Linked DNA regions of Xenopus tropicalis. The protein of the gene in region 2 interacts with the protein of the main gene of each other region in a pairwise test. Links are inferred from orthologs where the notes say so. Each region holds a gene or a part of one and is shown on either strand. Other genes may lie near its edges.

The links.
Region 1: the proteins of trim63 (region 2) and tnnt1 interact in a two-hybrid assay, tested with the Homo sapiens proteins (2 studies listed by BioGRID and IntAct). The link is inferred for Xenopus tropicalis from reciprocal best matches to the Homo sapiens genes TRIM63 and TNNT1.
Region 3: the proteins of trim63 (region 2) and ckm interact in a two-hybrid assay, tested with the Homo sapiens proteins (2 studies listed by BioGRID). The link is inferred for Xenopus tropicalis from reciprocal best matches to the Homo sapiens genes TRIM63 and CKM.

Annotation. Positions count from the first base shown.
Region 1 is NC_030683.2:104,577,831-104,583,949, reverse strand, and holds the start of tnnt1 (troponin T, slow skeletal muscle), read right to left. Parts: upstream 3,737-6,119; 5' UTR 3,626-3,736; intron 1-3,625. UniProt on the Homo sapiens protein: Troponin T is the tropomyosin-binding subunit of troponin, the thin filament regulatory complex which confers calcium-sensitivity to striated muscle actomyosin ATPase activity.
Region 2 is NC_030678.2:76,881,728-76,886,051, forward strand, and holds part of trim63 (E3 ubiquitin-protein ligase TRIM63), read right to left. Parts: intron 4,166-4,324; coding exon 4,070-4,165; intron 3,602-4,069; coding exon 3,368-3,601; intron 2,376-3,367; coding exon 2,353-2,375; intron 1,912-2,352; coding exon 1,787-1,911; intron 950-1,786; coding exon 884-949; intron 1-883. UniProt on the Homo sapiens protein: E3 ubiquitin ligase. Mediates the ubiquitination and subsequent proteasomal degradation of CKM, GMEB1 and HIBADH.
Region 3 is NC_030684.2:70,816,010-70,822,015, forward strand, and holds the start of ckm (creatine kinase M-type), read left to right. Parts: upstream 1-2,270; 5' UTR 2,271-2,289; intron 2,290-5,073; 5' UTR 5,074-5,093; coding exon 5,094-5,286; intron 5,287-5,984; coding exon 5,985-6,006. UniProt on the Homo sapiens protein: Reversibly catalyzes the transfer of phosphate between ATP and various phosphogens (e.g. creatine phosphate).

The DNA of each region.
Region 1 (6,119 bases), on a different chromosome or scaffold from region 2:
GTACTGAGCAGTAAGCGTCTTCTGTATTTCTCTATTAGTTCTACCAATTAGCTGACTGCTAGAACTGAGCAAAGAAACGCTGAGCAAAAGTGCTCATAAGAGTACAGCAGTTTTACATTCAGTTGTTTCAGGGTGCTTAAAGGAACAGTAACACCAAAAAATATATTATATAAAATAAAATAAATAATAAGTTGTTATTATTTATTATTATAAATAATAAGTTGTGTGTTTGATTCAGAAAGGATACCATAGTTGATATAAATAAGCTGCTGTGTAGCCATGGGGGCAGCCATTCAAACTGGAAAAAAGGTACAAATGGCACAGGTTACATAGCAGATAACAGATATACTCTTTAGAATACAATGGTGTTTTACAGTGCTTATCTGTTATCTGCTATGTAACCTGTTTAGCCCCATTTCAATTTAAATAACCACCCCCATGGGTACTTGGCAACTTTGTTTATATAAACTATAGTAGTGTTTCTGAACCAAACAAACAGGGCAATGCTACATTGTATTGTAATTATTTCATGCACTTCCTTCCTTTAATTACCCTGCTCAGGAAGCAGGGCCAGAAATGCCCCCATTGGCTTTTTTGCCAGTTGCATTAAAGTGTACTTGCAAGTGCAATTTTGTAATATATGGTGATTTGGCTTTGCTTACTAAGCTACTAAACATCATACTTGGATTCCCTTGACAGTTCTGCAGATGTATTTTCCAGGCACATTATTAGGCAGGATACTGTACAGCCCACTCACTTTCATAATGAGTCTGAATAATGACTTCCACATTCAGGACATAGCATGTAGCAGAGTCTGGATAGGATAGCCATTGAGGAATACATTTTAGGGAATGAGTAGTTCCATAGCTTTAAGAGGAGAAAGGAAAGATAGAGGCGACTGCTCTGGTCCTTATAGCACCTGTATACGGCATGATTGGTGCGTAGCAGGAACAAGATGGAATCAGCACGTACCATTTTATATCAGTGCTGTGGCTGTCAGCAGTGCTGTGAGTTGTGCTGAAGGGCCAAAAGTTGGACAATCCAACATTACTGTATATAAAACCTGGGCCCCTCCACAATTAAAGATGGTTGCAACTAGATCATTAATGCAAGATGCTTAAGGGCTTCAGTGAACTCAGTCCTGGCAGAGACGCACTGTGCATATTTGTGTGAGTATTGAAAGGAGAATATATCAGATTTAGAAGTAAGGTTTATTTTCAGTTTGCACAGATGAATGTGAGGGTATAGCAGTTCTAATTTTTACCCACAGTGGGAACTCTGAAACTTGGAGGTGGTTGTAGCTCCAGGGATCCCCTGCCTCAATACACACACTTGCATGTGATTTGGCACAGGAGGTGGGAACAGCGCACTAGTAGAAGTATAGATGCAAGTCCAGGAATCTGACTCCTTATCCAGAAGCCCATTATCCAGAGAGTTCTGAATTACGGAAAGGCCATCTCCCATAGACTCCATTTAAATTAAATAATTCAAATTTTTTAAAAATAATTTTCTGTAATAATAAAACAGAACCTTGTACTTGATCCCAACTAAGATATAATTAATCCTTATTGGAGCCAAAACAATCCTATTGGGTTTAATTACTGTTTAAATATTTTTTTTGGCAGACTTAAGGTAGGCGATCCAAATTACGGAAAGACCCCTTATCCGGAAAACCCCAGGTCCCAAGCATTCTGTATAATAGGTCCCATACCTGTACCTATAATAAATGGCATCAGTTCACACAATGACTTCATACAAAAGCAGTTGCTGTTAAACTACAACCCTCTGAATCACCTTTGCCATCATTGAACAGTGAGATGTGTACTTCTGCATCAACTTAAGGGTTGCAGGTTTGGCAATACTGAAATACAGTGTCTATCTTGCTCTATTATCACCATGTGGCTCTACTGTTGCGGTATTACCCTGTTACCCCACCAACATCCTATATCTAACTAATGCTCTGCAATGCCCAGGGCAGTTCCTCCTATTAGCAACTCCCAAACAACAGCTGTGCAAGTAATTCATATATTATGTACTGTTTCCCTGTACTAGTAAAAGTTGTGCATTTGCTACAGAAATCCTACTATAGTTAAAGGAACAGTAACACCAAAAAATGAAAGAGTTTTAAAGTAAATTAAATATAATGTACTGTTGGCTTACACTGGTAAAAGTTGTGTGTTTGCTACAGTAACTCTACTATAGGTTATATATAATGAGCTGCTGTGTAGCCCCGGGGGCAGCCATTCAAGCTGGAAAAAAGGAGAAGAGGCACAGGTTACATAGCAGATAACGGATAAGCTCTGTAGAATACAATAGTGTTTTATCTGTTATCTGCTATGTGCCTGTGCCTTTTCTCCTTTGAATGGCTGCCCCCATGGCTACACAGCTGCATTCTTTATATAAACCATAGTAGTGTTTCTGAGGCAAACACACCAGTTGTACCAGTGCAGGGCAGCAGCACATTATATTGGAATTTCTTTTATACACTTGAATTTTTTGGTGTTACTGTTCCTTTAATATAAACAAAACTGCTGTGTAGCCATGGGGGCAGCTATTCAACCTTTAAAAGGAGAAAAGGCACAGGTTACATAGCAGAAAACCAATAAGCTGTGTAGATTCCAATTGTATGTTACAGTGTTTATCTGTTATCTACTATGTAACCTGTGTGTTATCCTTTTTTTCAGCTAAAATAGCTGCCCCCATGGTTACACAGCAGCTGATTTATAGAAACTATATTAGGGTTTCTAAAGCAAACACACAAGTTTTACCAGTGCAGGGCAACAGTACATTACAGTAAGTAAAGTAAGGAGGAGTAATCCACAAAATATAAAGAGAAATGTAAGTGATGAAGAATAATGACTAAAATTAATGTAAAACAAACCCAATTACAGAGGTAGTTAGCCTTTTAACTTTTAGTATGAGGCATAATGAGACAGTTTGCAATTGGTCTTCATTTTTCAGATTTTGTGTTTTTTTTAATTATTTAGCTTTTTAATCAATAGCACTCCAGTCACGTTCTACTTTCTGGTCCGCAGAGTCAAACAGATCAGCAGTCCAGCAGGTATGTTCAGCACAATCTCTATTCACTGAGCCAGTGTTAAACAAAGGGGTTGCGTGTCCCTTTAAATTGGAAAACGGAAAGAAGTAGTAATAGTGCTATAAGGTGGTTTATATAACAGTGAATGGGAGACAGTAGGGATGGGTTTGGGCAAAAAAAACCCCTAAAGCTGCTAAATTATTTTTTAAAACTGCAGTTGTCAATTGTCAATGTCCAAGAGTATTCTCCTTGGCAGGAATAGTACATATATAAGCATAATCATGCAGTATGCTGGGAATAAAAAGGCTGGCTCTTTAGGGGAGTAAAAGGCTTGAAAGGAACATATAGGCTCTGGAACATTCTCCTTTTGTTCATAGTGTTACAGTGAGCTCAAACCAAATGTAGCCAGAAAGAGAAATGCAAAAATCACAATATACAAAAATAATTCTCTGCACAGAAAAACTAATTATATTGACAGACTAAGACATGCTAAATAAAAATATGGGATGAGTGATTCAGTTAATCAGTTCTATATATATGTGCCTTGCCTTTTCCCTAATACTAAGCATGATGTTCCAGCTCACTTACCTGGAGCCCTTGTCAGCGTGAGAGGCGTCGGAGGTTATGATTGGAGTGACAGACAAATGGCTTTTTCAAATGCCCTTTGTAGTGGGGCTGTCCCAAGCATGTGGTGGACGTTTTCTTTTAGAAACCAGACCCCACCGTCTGGCCCTGATCATATTGTATTGGGCAGGGGGCTGGGGAGGAGGGGGGGATTATCCAACTTCAATAAAAGGAAAAGGGAGAGGAACAGCAATCACCCTATGGAATATTTTTCTGTCCTCACATGTGCATTAAATTAGCACATACACACACACACACACACATATATATATACATATATCTATCTATCTATATATATTTGCAATTGTATGGTAAGTCTTTCAAGCACTTATTGATAATATACTACAGGTGTGGGATCCCTTATCCGGAAACCCATTATACAGAAAGCTTTGAATTACGAAAAAGCATGTCTCCCATAGACTCCATTTTAATCAAATAATTTTAAAACTGATTTCCTTTTTCTCTGTAGTAATAAAAGATATAAATAATCCTTATTGTATGCAAAACAATCCTATTGGGTTTAATTAATGTTTTATTGTTTTTTTTTAGTAGACTTAAGGTATGGAGATTGAAATTACAGAAAGACCTCTTATCTGGAATACCCTTGGTCCCGCACATTCTGGATAAGGGGTCCTATACCTGTATCATAAAAATATTTAGGAATCCTATATGGGTTAGCACTTGTTGGGCTCATATTAATATAAAATGAACAGTGTTTCATTTAAGGCTAATAGCACACGAAGAGCATTGACTCCCATACGCTCCTTGCTATAACTGTACTGACTGGCACTGCCTCGGCCTGTGTATATATTGTAACTATAAAGTGCCTGTGGTTTATTTTTTAACACAGGTGTATACTGCCCCTTTAAGCAGTTTGATTGAGCCAGAGGAGAGAGTGCCCTCTAGTTGAAGAAATAAGCTGCAAATAATAGCTGCGATCAATAATAGATGTGCAATCTCGGCATGTGTGTATGGCACAGATTATCTTTTCCAAAGTGTGGGAGGGAGCCTAAAAGATTTTGCCCAATGGTCTGGTAACATCTGCTTTTGTCATTTATTGTATTGCTTTGCTTGATGCACACACAGCATATACACAAACACTTGCAGTTTGGCATTTTACAGTTTTTCACTCCCCAGATATTAAAGGGGAAATCAACCCAAGCACAGATTAAGCTCTTTGAAAAGTAAACATAATTTCAAGCAACATTATAGCAATTAACAATTACAACAATTAAAAATATGCAGCCTTTTCATAATTTTTAATGTAATAATATGGTTTGGAACAGTTACCTAAGCCTAGCCCCCTGTTCTCCTGCTGGTCTGGCTGACTATAAGTCTAAAAGAAAATGTAACAGTAGCTGACTGCTCTCAGCCTGCATCCTCCAAATCCCACAATCCCGTGCACACGGGTTGTCAATAAGGAATAGAACATTGCAGTGCAATGCATTGTGGGGTATGTAGTTCCTGCATGCTATCTGTAAACTTTAGAGAACTTGTTACAATCTGAAACATACTTTTTAAAGGAACAGATTACAGCAGGGGTGGCCAAAACGTTGATCGCAGTCCACCAGTCAATCCCCTGTGGATTTCTGGTGGACCGCGTAGAAGTCAGGAAATGTTGAAGTGCGCCGGTTCCGCGTTTTTATTGGGTATGCAGAGTTCCTCTTTAATTAGAACATGCATCAAACACTAGAAAACTGTAACTGCTCAATATTTTTGCATTGCATGAGTTTTATTGCATTGAAGAAGCAGATGAAATGCATTCCTAAACATGGATCTGACGGCTATGTGCACAAGCCCTTACACCAAGTAGAGTTACAGAATTCTGTGCTAAGGAACATACTGATGATGGGCAGTTCAGTAATTAGGTTGTAAGTGGTTTGGATGCCTTTCTAATAAGAAGGGATATAGCTATGGTTATGAGATATATCAGTTCTGACTGATCCAGAGAATTATCCAGTTTTGCAGTTGGGAAGGATATTTCAGACTACACGCTAACGCCAAATCTCTATTTGACACACAAAGGGATTTCGAAGGTTGTTGACTTATGAATTAGATATTGTTATGGCTTAGCTTGTACTCTCCAATCCATTATTAGTATTAGTGGCATAATGTGGGACATGCTGGGAGTTGGTAACGGGTACTGAAGCAGGGGGTGGGGGGGGGTCAGGAGTCCTTGCTGAGCCCTCTTTGCGGTCACTGGGTCTCCCCTTATAGTTATGCCTCTAGATAGTATACTGGGTCACAAATCTATGCTCAGGTCCATTATTCAGACAATCTGACATTCCAAAAGTAAAATATGTCAAAGGAACAGGATTCTGTTGTGTATGCATCATGTTAATACAAACAGGGTCAGTCTGTGCACTTTCACCTTGGGACATAGCATTGCTTGCTGTCTGGCACAGTTAGTGTGGCTGCAGCTCGTCTTCACTTACTTTTGGACAACCAACACATCAGG
Region 2 (4,324 bases):
TTCAACCTGGTTGAATTTTGAAACCTGGAGTATTTTGGTAAATAAGAATTCCATGTCATACCACTGAAGCAAGATAGATGTTAGAATACTAATGGGTAACAACACATTCATTAAAGTACGACAGGTCCGATTACAAAAAATTCTAAAGTTTACAACTTTTGCATATTTTCTACAATATTTTTGTTAATCTGCGCAACTTTTTCGTACTTTCCGACAATTTGCGCAACGATTTGTGCGACAAAATCGTATTTGTCGCACCAAGTATGAAAGTTTCGGATTCATTGAAGCTGTGGTATTGTGACTTTCCTTGGGCCAGGTTGGAGCTGCAGAGTGCCATTGAGTCCTATGGGAAGCTGCCAGAATCATGCACTGAAGTCAGAAAGGTTTTTCCGCCATTTACGATCGTTCGGATGTGATAATTTTGTGACTTTTGGATCGCCAATTGTAAACGATTGCTTCAATACGGAAATTTCTGAACTTTCGGATCGTAATTACGAAAGCTTAGTATTCAAACGAACTGAATCTTCATAACTTTTGCAATCATCAGAAATGATTGGATTTCGTGATTCAGATTCGTACTTTAATGAATGTTCCCCCATATGATTTGATCTCTGTGTCATGCCAAAGCTACTTCAGGATTAAAAATATAGTTTGTGGCTGGATAGTAAATGCTAAAATGAAATGTTCATGGGGAGCAGGATTTTTTAATATAATGGTTGCAACCAAGCCTTGGTAAATAGGGGGAACTAAAATATTAATGCAATTAGTGCCTCTGTAATAATAGTTGCAGGATACCACCATGAGACTCATGCAGATGCAATATAAACCATGACCTTTGTTATAGAGACATATGTGTAAATTTGTCTATGACAAATGTTCTTACCTTCAAGTGTTTCTTCTTCAGTTTCTTCATATTCCTCTATATCATCTTCCTCATCTTCATCACAGTCTGTAAAAAATAACATTTAGCGGTACAGTACTTCCCAAATGGCTGATACAGCATTCTCATTAGTCTATTTTGATGCAGTTATGGGTTTCCTCTAACAGGTTCTCAAAATCACTGACCAAAGAAAGAGTGTATTTTACATTTGTTCCATGGTGACAAATATCTACCTTTTGACTAGATATGTTAAATAAACCCAATGACAAAATCAGTCTGTCTTTATTTTTTTTCAGTATTTGATTTTTTTTAATTTATACTACTACTACTTGGTGAGTGTTTTATTTACTGTTGCTTTTTTGTGCCTTTATTTTTGGTTTCGATAAAAAGCATGTAATGGTAGTTCAACTTTACATAAACTTTAACTATGATTGAACAGATATTTTGATGAGTGACAATTGTCTGAGACAATTTGCAATTGGTCTTCATTTTTCATCTGCTTGCTTTTGTCCCATTTCCCTAGCAACCAGGCAGTGGCTTAAATTAAGACTTCAAGATAAAGATATAGGTGAGGGTCTGAATAGAAAGTTATGTAATGGATAGTGATAGAAATAACAAAAAAAAAATGCAGCCTCGCAGAGCAATAGTTTTTTTTCTTTTTTACTTTTTTTCAGTGAACCCCATTTGAAAGCTGGAAAAAGACAGAAAGCAGCAAATAATTGTCCTACTTTTTTATTTAATTTACATTACTTGAAATAATTTTTGTAACTGATTTACTTTAAGAAAATTCCTTTGTAGACTGTATTTGTTTTAAACAATGATGACTATATTCTTATTATCAAATGCTATTGTCACCCCAAATCCTGCATTAAACAAGATCCTTTCCAACCATGATTCTCAGCTCACTTGGAGTGAAGTCAATGCTTCTCAGACACTGGCTGACATGTTCCATATCCAGGGTGAACTGGTCCATATTTTCAAATCCATGATCAGTCTTCTCCAATTGGCAGCCTTTGGATGCTTCCATTAGCCTGCAAATACAAGAGTTAACATTTAAATAAGCTGAACAGCACTCTGAACAGCTGCATTCTTAGATATCCCTAACATAATATAATAAAATAAAAATGGGCAAAATTTGCCCAAGTATAATGACCCATAGCAACAAATCAAAAGCAATGCTTGCTTTTGCATCAGACATGTATTTGACAAATAAATGCTACCTGCTGATACGACTCCTTGCACTAATTGCCATTCTACAACTTCCTCTTATGTCACCTCCCCATGTTTCTTTCTATAGCCCTTCCTTACTGCTGGATCCTTTGAATGTTTTCATTTTTTTTTACTAGTTGCTTCTCTGAGCAAAAGGCACACTGGTATTGTTTTATTATGAACTCGATATGGCTGAATCACCAGTTCATGCAGTAGGTAACAATCATATGATTTTCATGCTTTGGATCTGGAATGTTACTTACTTTTTAATAAGCTGTTTGGACTCCTGTAGGAAAACAGCAGAAAAGAAAAGGTTTAGCACAGCATAAGAGAGGTACAACATAAGAAATAGAAAATGTTTAAACTAAATTAGACCGCTATAAATGGATTTTTAAAGGATAAATTTATAAGACACAGGCAATTTGTATTTCCTGGATTTAATTTACACTATATTTGGGGTGTGTTGACCTATTATGCTCTGATTGTGTTGAAAGCTGTATTAACCTTTTAAAACTGTGGTGTCACATACTCTGGGTAGGTACATAGGTACATTTAATACTCTGTGAGCAGCATCGCAATATACTGTTCTTGCAAGTTGGATGCAGGGGGTATTCTGCCCAATTGGCTGGCACTGTTTGCATTGTGGCTTAATCTGCTTGACAACTTCCCTGAATAAATACAATAGAAGGCCTATTTATAAAGACGAGTAAAATATTTTATGCCCTTGTTTTTTGACCCCCCTTCCCTCTTGCCTTCTGTATCCCCCATATTATATGTTTGAAAATAAAGAATATTTAAAAAAATATATATTTTATGCCAAAAAAGTCATACAAAATATAACGTGTATTTCTAAGGTTCTTTTGTTGCCTTTACAGCAAAAATTTTTGGCATAAAAAGAGCCAGATCTGTTTAAAATGCAGTGGCACTTAAAGGAACAGTAACACCAAAAAATGAAAGTGTATAAAAGTAATTACAATATAATGTACAGTTGCCCTGCATTGCTACAACTGGTGTGTTTGCCTCAGAAAGACTACTATAGTTTATATAAGTTAGCTGCTGTGTAGCCATGATGTTACTGTTCCTTTATGCCTGTTTTTGCTTGGCTTTTTGTATTTAATACATCTTTTAATCCGGAAGTTTAAATGGTGCACTATGAAGCTAAAGGTATAGTTCACTGTTACAAAATTTGACTTTGTATTCACATGCCACTTTTTTTTTTTACTCGTCTTTATAAATATGCATGTAGAGGCATTTATGTTGGAAGTCCCAGTAAATTACCAGAAGAAAGTTAGCAGGTCCAGGCTGTTCCATAGCCTGAAAAGCATTCTGTAGCACATTGGATGAGGACTGGAGCTGTTCCTGATACCGTACAATGAGAGAACGCACAAAGTTCAACTTCTCTTCCTCAGCTTGTGAAATCCGCTGTACCAGATGAGTCTTTTTCTCCTCCAGGTTCCTGAAAAGTGTCTCAAACATCTCTTTCACAGACTCCTTTTTACTCTGACTGTTCTCCTAAATGGGATGATTAAAGAAAGAACAGTCAAACTCACTAATCTCTGTAAGTGATCAGTAACAACCCTCAAACACCTCTTAGGCAAGTAAGTCGGATTTATGGTTTCCTTTGATGTTACTTTGGAGCAAACATATACTACACTAAACTGTATTCTGGATAGACAGCCCTTATTATTATTAACATGTATTCCGCAGAACTGTACAAAAATGGGTGTATAAATTAAACATACAGATACATACAATGCAACCAATAACCAATACAAGAGGTGAAAAAGGGGCCTACCTGACTGATAACTGGTTGGGTATTGGCCAGATATCCAATAGGCTGGGTAAAAAATACTATTCACATCCACTGTACATTGCTCATTTAACTTGTATCAGCTATATAGATTGATCTGTATGTGTAGGAAACTCCAGGATTCATGCACTGCTGTCTCCATGTAAAGTAAAGTTCTTGAAATTTCTCACCTGTATAGTTTTGCATGATTCTTCCAGCTGGCTAAGAATACACTGAATTCTATCATTACCCGCTACCAGCATCGATATGCAGCTATTCAGTTCTGTCTGTAAGAATAGAGATAGCAAAGAAAAAATAAAAATGTGTTATAATTAAGGGAGTTAAAAATTGATGTATATTAGTAGTGAAATAAAAAGCCAGAAAGCATAACTAAAGGCACAATATGCCTAAAAAAACAGGTCCAATAAATAAATATACTATATATA
Region 3 (6,006 bases), on a different chromosome or scaffold from region 2:
AAGCATTAAGCCAGGGAATGTACAAGGAAGCCTTTCTGAGAGAGGCAGCTTTGTGGGGGAGTGGGTTTTGAAGGTGGCAGTAAAAATCCTTACATCCATTATTAACAATTAAATAAAACAATACCCCCAGAACGAATACTTAACCAGCAGATAGTTAATATTATATTAAGTGTCCGATTAAAGAATCTGGAATATATATGTATATCTGTAAATATTGGCCTTTTACTTATTTTACCTTGAGCCACCATAAATAATGCAGCTCTAACTGTAACAGGAAGAAGTGTGGGCGTAAAAGACAGAACTTTGTCCATTAATTGGTTGATGTGAACTAACATGTATGTGTGCCCTTGGTTTGTGTGCACCATGAATTGTATGATCCCAAGGGGACAGCCCTTAGTAGCTAAAATGGCAATTTTCTATTTAGGAGTACATAGTAATAAATATTACTAAACAGTATATTTTCATGAAAATGGTTTATTTAAATTATATCTCATAGTAAGCATTATTTTGTAAATTTGTTAATAGTACATGCAACCATAAGGTTCATGTTGCACTGGAACTGACATACTATGGCATAGGCTCAAAAGAGTTATAAGCAGCTGTAACTAACAACTTCCTCCGAGCTGTTGTGAGAGGCTGTCACAAACATGCTGCCTAAGAAAAGAACATGGTAGCAAGTTACTTATTGGTTAAAGTAGTCATATTACACTGACTGATGGGCCTTAACCCAAACAAACAGAACAGTAGCAAGGTAGTATGCAAAAAAGAAATTGCCACTCTTTCTTATGCATCAAATAGAGTTAATGGGCTCACACTGTTCCACTATCTGTCATTGTGTCACCCCTTGGTAATTGGTCACAAAAAAAGAAAGCAGAGCCAAACAGTGCTTTGACAAAGGGCACAGGTCCCAAAACAGGCGGTTTAGTTTTATCCAAATAAAGTGTTGCAGTTAAAGGAACAGTAACTCCAAAAAATGAAAGAGCTTTAAAGTAATACAAATATAATGCACTGTTGCCCTGCACTGGTAAAACTGGTGTGTTTGCTACAGTAACACTACTATAATTTATATAATAAGCTGCTGTGTAGCCATGGGGGCAGCCATTCAAGCTGGAAAAAAGGAGAAAAGGCACAGGTTACATTGCAGATAACAGATAAGTTCTGTAGAATACAATAGTGTTTTATCTGTTATCTGCTATGTGCCTGTGCCTTTTCTCCTTTGAATGGCTACATAGTAGTTTATTTATATAAATTATAGTAGACTTTCTGAAGTAAACACACAACTTTTACCAGTGCAGGGCGGCAGCACATTACATTTTAGTTAAGTTTATACACTTTCATTTTTTGGTGTTACTGTTCCTTTAAATAGCACTGCTTTGTTGAGACTGACAATCAGCAGGTAGCATTTAGAGGCTAGGCTGTTTTAAAACAAACAGATCATCTAGTTTACTAAACCAGAGAAAACTCTTTGTATCTGCTTTCTGCATCAGTCACTGTATCCGAACGATCAGCTATTGATCTCCTTTGATCAGCAGGATGTTCTGTTGGGTGCACCCTGGACGGTGTGTGCAGATAGTCAGGCAGTAAGATTGAACTATAAACATTACCAAACTTTGATAGTCACAGAATGGTACGTTGGGTATCATCTAGGTACAATACATGCTCAGATGGTCAGGGACTAATGTCGAATTGGCCAAATTACCTGATTGATTCTTGGCACATATGATCACCTTAGCACTCATCTGTAAAGAAAAGCATGCATTTTCATCAGTGCAGTAACACTAGTAATATCCTGGAATCACCCAGTGCAGAATGGCAACTCAGTTTTCAGTGTAACACTGATCAGAATGGTGAATCTTCCAAACCTTATCTGTCTGTACATCTGTCCCCCTGCTTAGCAGCCAGGCTTTTAGATTTTTCATACTCTATCACTGTCTCTGCCTGACTGAGATGGGTAAATTGAAATTCCTAGTTCCCCCTCTCTCTCTGCTTCACCGTGTCACCCAGTGTATGATAGGATCCAAAATTCCCTCTGTCTGTACTACTACTGAACTGACCCACCCACTCTCTAATTATAACCCATAGTGAGAAAGCTGAGCTCTTGTGCTCCAGATAAAGGCATCAAGTCAGATATAATAGGAACCAATGAGAAGGCGTTGATGTCTTGACATCACAGTGACACATTTCACACCTTCAAAGAGCTGGCCAATTGAAAGCAACTTAGGGTTATATAAGATAGAATTTGGATGAGCTAGTTGGGTCACCCTGAAGTTTGCTCCGTCTCTAAAGCAGGTAATACATTTTACCCTTCTACTGTTAGGGGGAAAGCCTTGTTGTGTGTGAACTTGTTCTTTGCCAAAATAGACCTGCAAATTCTCAAACAAAAGACAACCAGAGCCAGTTTTAGGGTTTGGGAGAGAGGGCATTTGCCCCCTAGATTTGGTAGATGCAACATCAACTGGTTGGTTGCAGGATATAAATTCTTAATTTACATATATTGGGGCTCCAACCAACTACAATGCACAGGACTTCCACATCTATAACTTTTACTTAGAATGGTAAATTTATAGCGTCATCTCATTAATATCTTCATAGAATGTAAATCTTCCTTTAGCAAAATATACTTGCAAAGCATAAGTTTATAAACCACACATGCAACTTTTTTCGTACAAAAGTAATATCCTTCTAGCTAGAAAGTATTGTGTGGAAACCAAACTGTAGGTTTCTGCAGAACTCTGGGCAGACCAAGTGCCTAGAAAGTGTACAAAGAAGGACACTTGCAGACCATATAATTGTGTCCCTATGTGAAGGCTGCAGTGCATTAAACCTTTCCCTGTATATGATACTTGATCGATGCAATTATATCAGGGAGACCCCTGCAGTAACATTTACATGTTCTTTTTGTAGACTAAAATGATTGTAAATTTTGCATGTATTTGCTGATAAATAAGTACAAAACAGCTGTTACCATTTTCATTAATGTTTACAGTAGGTTTCTCAACTATTCCTTAGCACCCACCAGAAGTGAGCTTACCACTGTTATATCTACCTTTTACTGACCCTTCATATGTGACGACCTGTGCATTAGTGATGGCATCCTTAGTGCATGAAGCAAGGAAAGGACGTAGAGCCTTAATATTTATAAATAGTTACAATAATACAGATCTTATGAGGATTTAACTCATTTGAGCATTTAACACAGATCTTGGACAGATCTTGGAATTCTTCAACCCTTTTTGTATGGTAGACTTTTAGAGCCTTTCATTATTTGCTTGTAAGGTATACTTTCTTGTAAGGCAGATCTGTAGAGTCTTAACCAGCAAACTTGTGGAGCATTTACATTTTTGCCCTCAAGTCAGTCCACTAGAGCAATGCTCCTCCTAAGTTGTACACATAAAATATGACAACACCACACACTATCAATGTGGCGCATATAGAAAATGTTGTATGTACAAATATAATTTAGTAACTGTTACGACAATCTGTTGTGCAGTGCCAGAATGGTTAGTCTTTCAGATCCTGTCTATCTGAACTACTGCATGTTGTGACTCGGTATGCTCCAGTGTGTACAGTCCCCATAGAGAAGCATGGGTTCATTTAACTCTTACATCCCCGTGTGGTGGATGGCAAAAATCAATGCATGGAATCAAAGTTGTAAATGTTCAAATGCAAGAGCCCTTATTCTTTCCCATTTATTGGGACCTATAACTTTAACTCAGAAGCTCCAAAATTAATAGCCTGAACAGTGATTTTGGTGAAATGCGGTTTTGGATGCCTTGTTAACTATGTAATAAGGTAATTATGCCTGCTTAATTATTAGACCTAAAAAGTCTGAATAACTCACAGCTAAACAGAGCTACAGAACTTAAATCCTTTTTCTGTTAAATAAACCTAAAGAGACTTAAACCATTCCTTGTAAAAAAAAAAAAATACCTGCAAGAATGGCTGCAAAGCTCCTAAATCTTTCTTTCCAAAACAACTGGTTTCCTGATGAATTTTCAGATGCTTTCACTTAGGACCTTGTGAAAGACCTACTCTCTTTAACCCTATCTCAGTAAGACTGTCCCCCAGTAGGCAGCTTTCCCTACAACTGATCATCTGTCAGTGAATTCAAAAATCTCTTTCTAGTATAGGAATATCTGTTTACTGGGGACAGTTGATTTATGGGTCATTCAACCCTTCAGTATTGGTAAGCCCTACCATGATAGACAGATACTTAAAGTGATTGCATGTTTGTTTGTCTGTCTGTCTATCTTGCTTTGGCTTTGGCAAGGATAAGTATCGTGCACCATCCTTTACTCTTTCAGTACTCTTTTCAGAACTTTAAACCTCTCCCCACCCCCTTTCTTTCCTCTCATGTTTCACAGCACAGCCACCTGTTAGCTTTGGCTATGTGTACAGAAATGGCATGATCTATATTTATCCAGAACGTGCTGTCCCAGCACTGCCAAACTGCCACTCGCTGCTACTGAACAGGCACATTCAAGAACACAGCCCAATAAAGTGTCACATAGTATCTTACTGGTCATGCACAAACTCACCTCTACACCTACCATATCATATGCTTTTGTCAAATCGCCAACTCAACATGCTTTGCCATTTGTTGCATAAGATCGCACGTCTCATACCAAGCAATTATGGGACTGTGGTGAACAGGAGCCAGAGAACATCTAGAATTGCTGGATGTAGGGGTACATATTGGTTTGGGAAGGTTCATGAATATAAGGCTCAGATCAGAGAAGTGGAATAAATAAGACATCTCTATATAGAGAAGACTGCCCTTCTCATCTTTTGACATGTGAATCTTTAATATCTAGATAACTAAATGATACTCTGTCCAACATCCTAATACCATTAGGACTGTATCTAGGACACTTTATAAAGGATTAACTCATCCAAGCCATTTCACATTTGACAAGCTGAAGTGTTGCTTCTCATCTGGGATTTCTCAAATTAAAAACCAAAAAACTACTAGATTTGTACCAAATATTTTGTCTACTGATGATCAACACATGCTGAATAATCCTTTCTAATGAATGTTTTTTTTTTCTCTTTTAAATGTCCCTTAAACTGCAGGTCTAGCCCGATCTTCCAACATGCCTTTCGGTAACACCCATAATAACTGGAAATTGAATTATTCCTCTGAGGAGGAATATCCTGACCTCACCAAGCACAACAATCATATGGCCAAGGCCCTGTCTGCTGACATCTACAAGAAGCTCAGGGACAAGCAGACACCAAGTGGCTTCACCTTGGATGATGTCATTCAGACTGGAGTTGACAACCCAGGTAAGAAATCTATAATTCTTGAAAAGTCCAGGGTTTTGGAACATTGTGGCTCTATAATTCCACTATGCTTTTTGTAGATTGGCTGGACAGATGTGTCTGGAATAGCCCCCTTTTCTCATAATATGGTACAACATTTACAGAAATAACGATAGGCACATCAATGCAGCAGGGGATAGGGTTCCATAAGTATAAAGGGCTTATGGGGATTGCAAATGATACATTTTTACAATGGGGGGGCTGAACTATCAGATATATGGTTAGGGAATCTAGTAATATGTCTTATAGCTTTGTTTTAGTTTGAAGTGGCACAGAGAGGAAAGATGTACCTCCCTTTCATTTTGGGCCTGCATTTGGGGAAGACACAGAGACCTTTAAGGAAACACCAAATCCTCAGGTCACATTGCACCTCAGGAAGTAGGGTTCAACTAAATTGTATACTGCAGACATTTCAGAAATAATAATAAATGTGGAAATGCTGTGTGACCCTTCCTCCCTAGTTCTGTGCACCCACCTATGATAATGTTTTTCTGTAGAATACTTCAAGATTTGCCTGTGTTAAGAAGTAAAACACTATAAAATGTCTATTATCTCTGCTTCTACTTGACTACCATCAGAAGGAACCTTTATCTTTTTCTGTAAAAAAATGAAAAATGAAATCACAAGTTCGTTCTATAAATGAGTTACCCTGCTGTTCATAGGCCATCCTTTCATCATGACTGT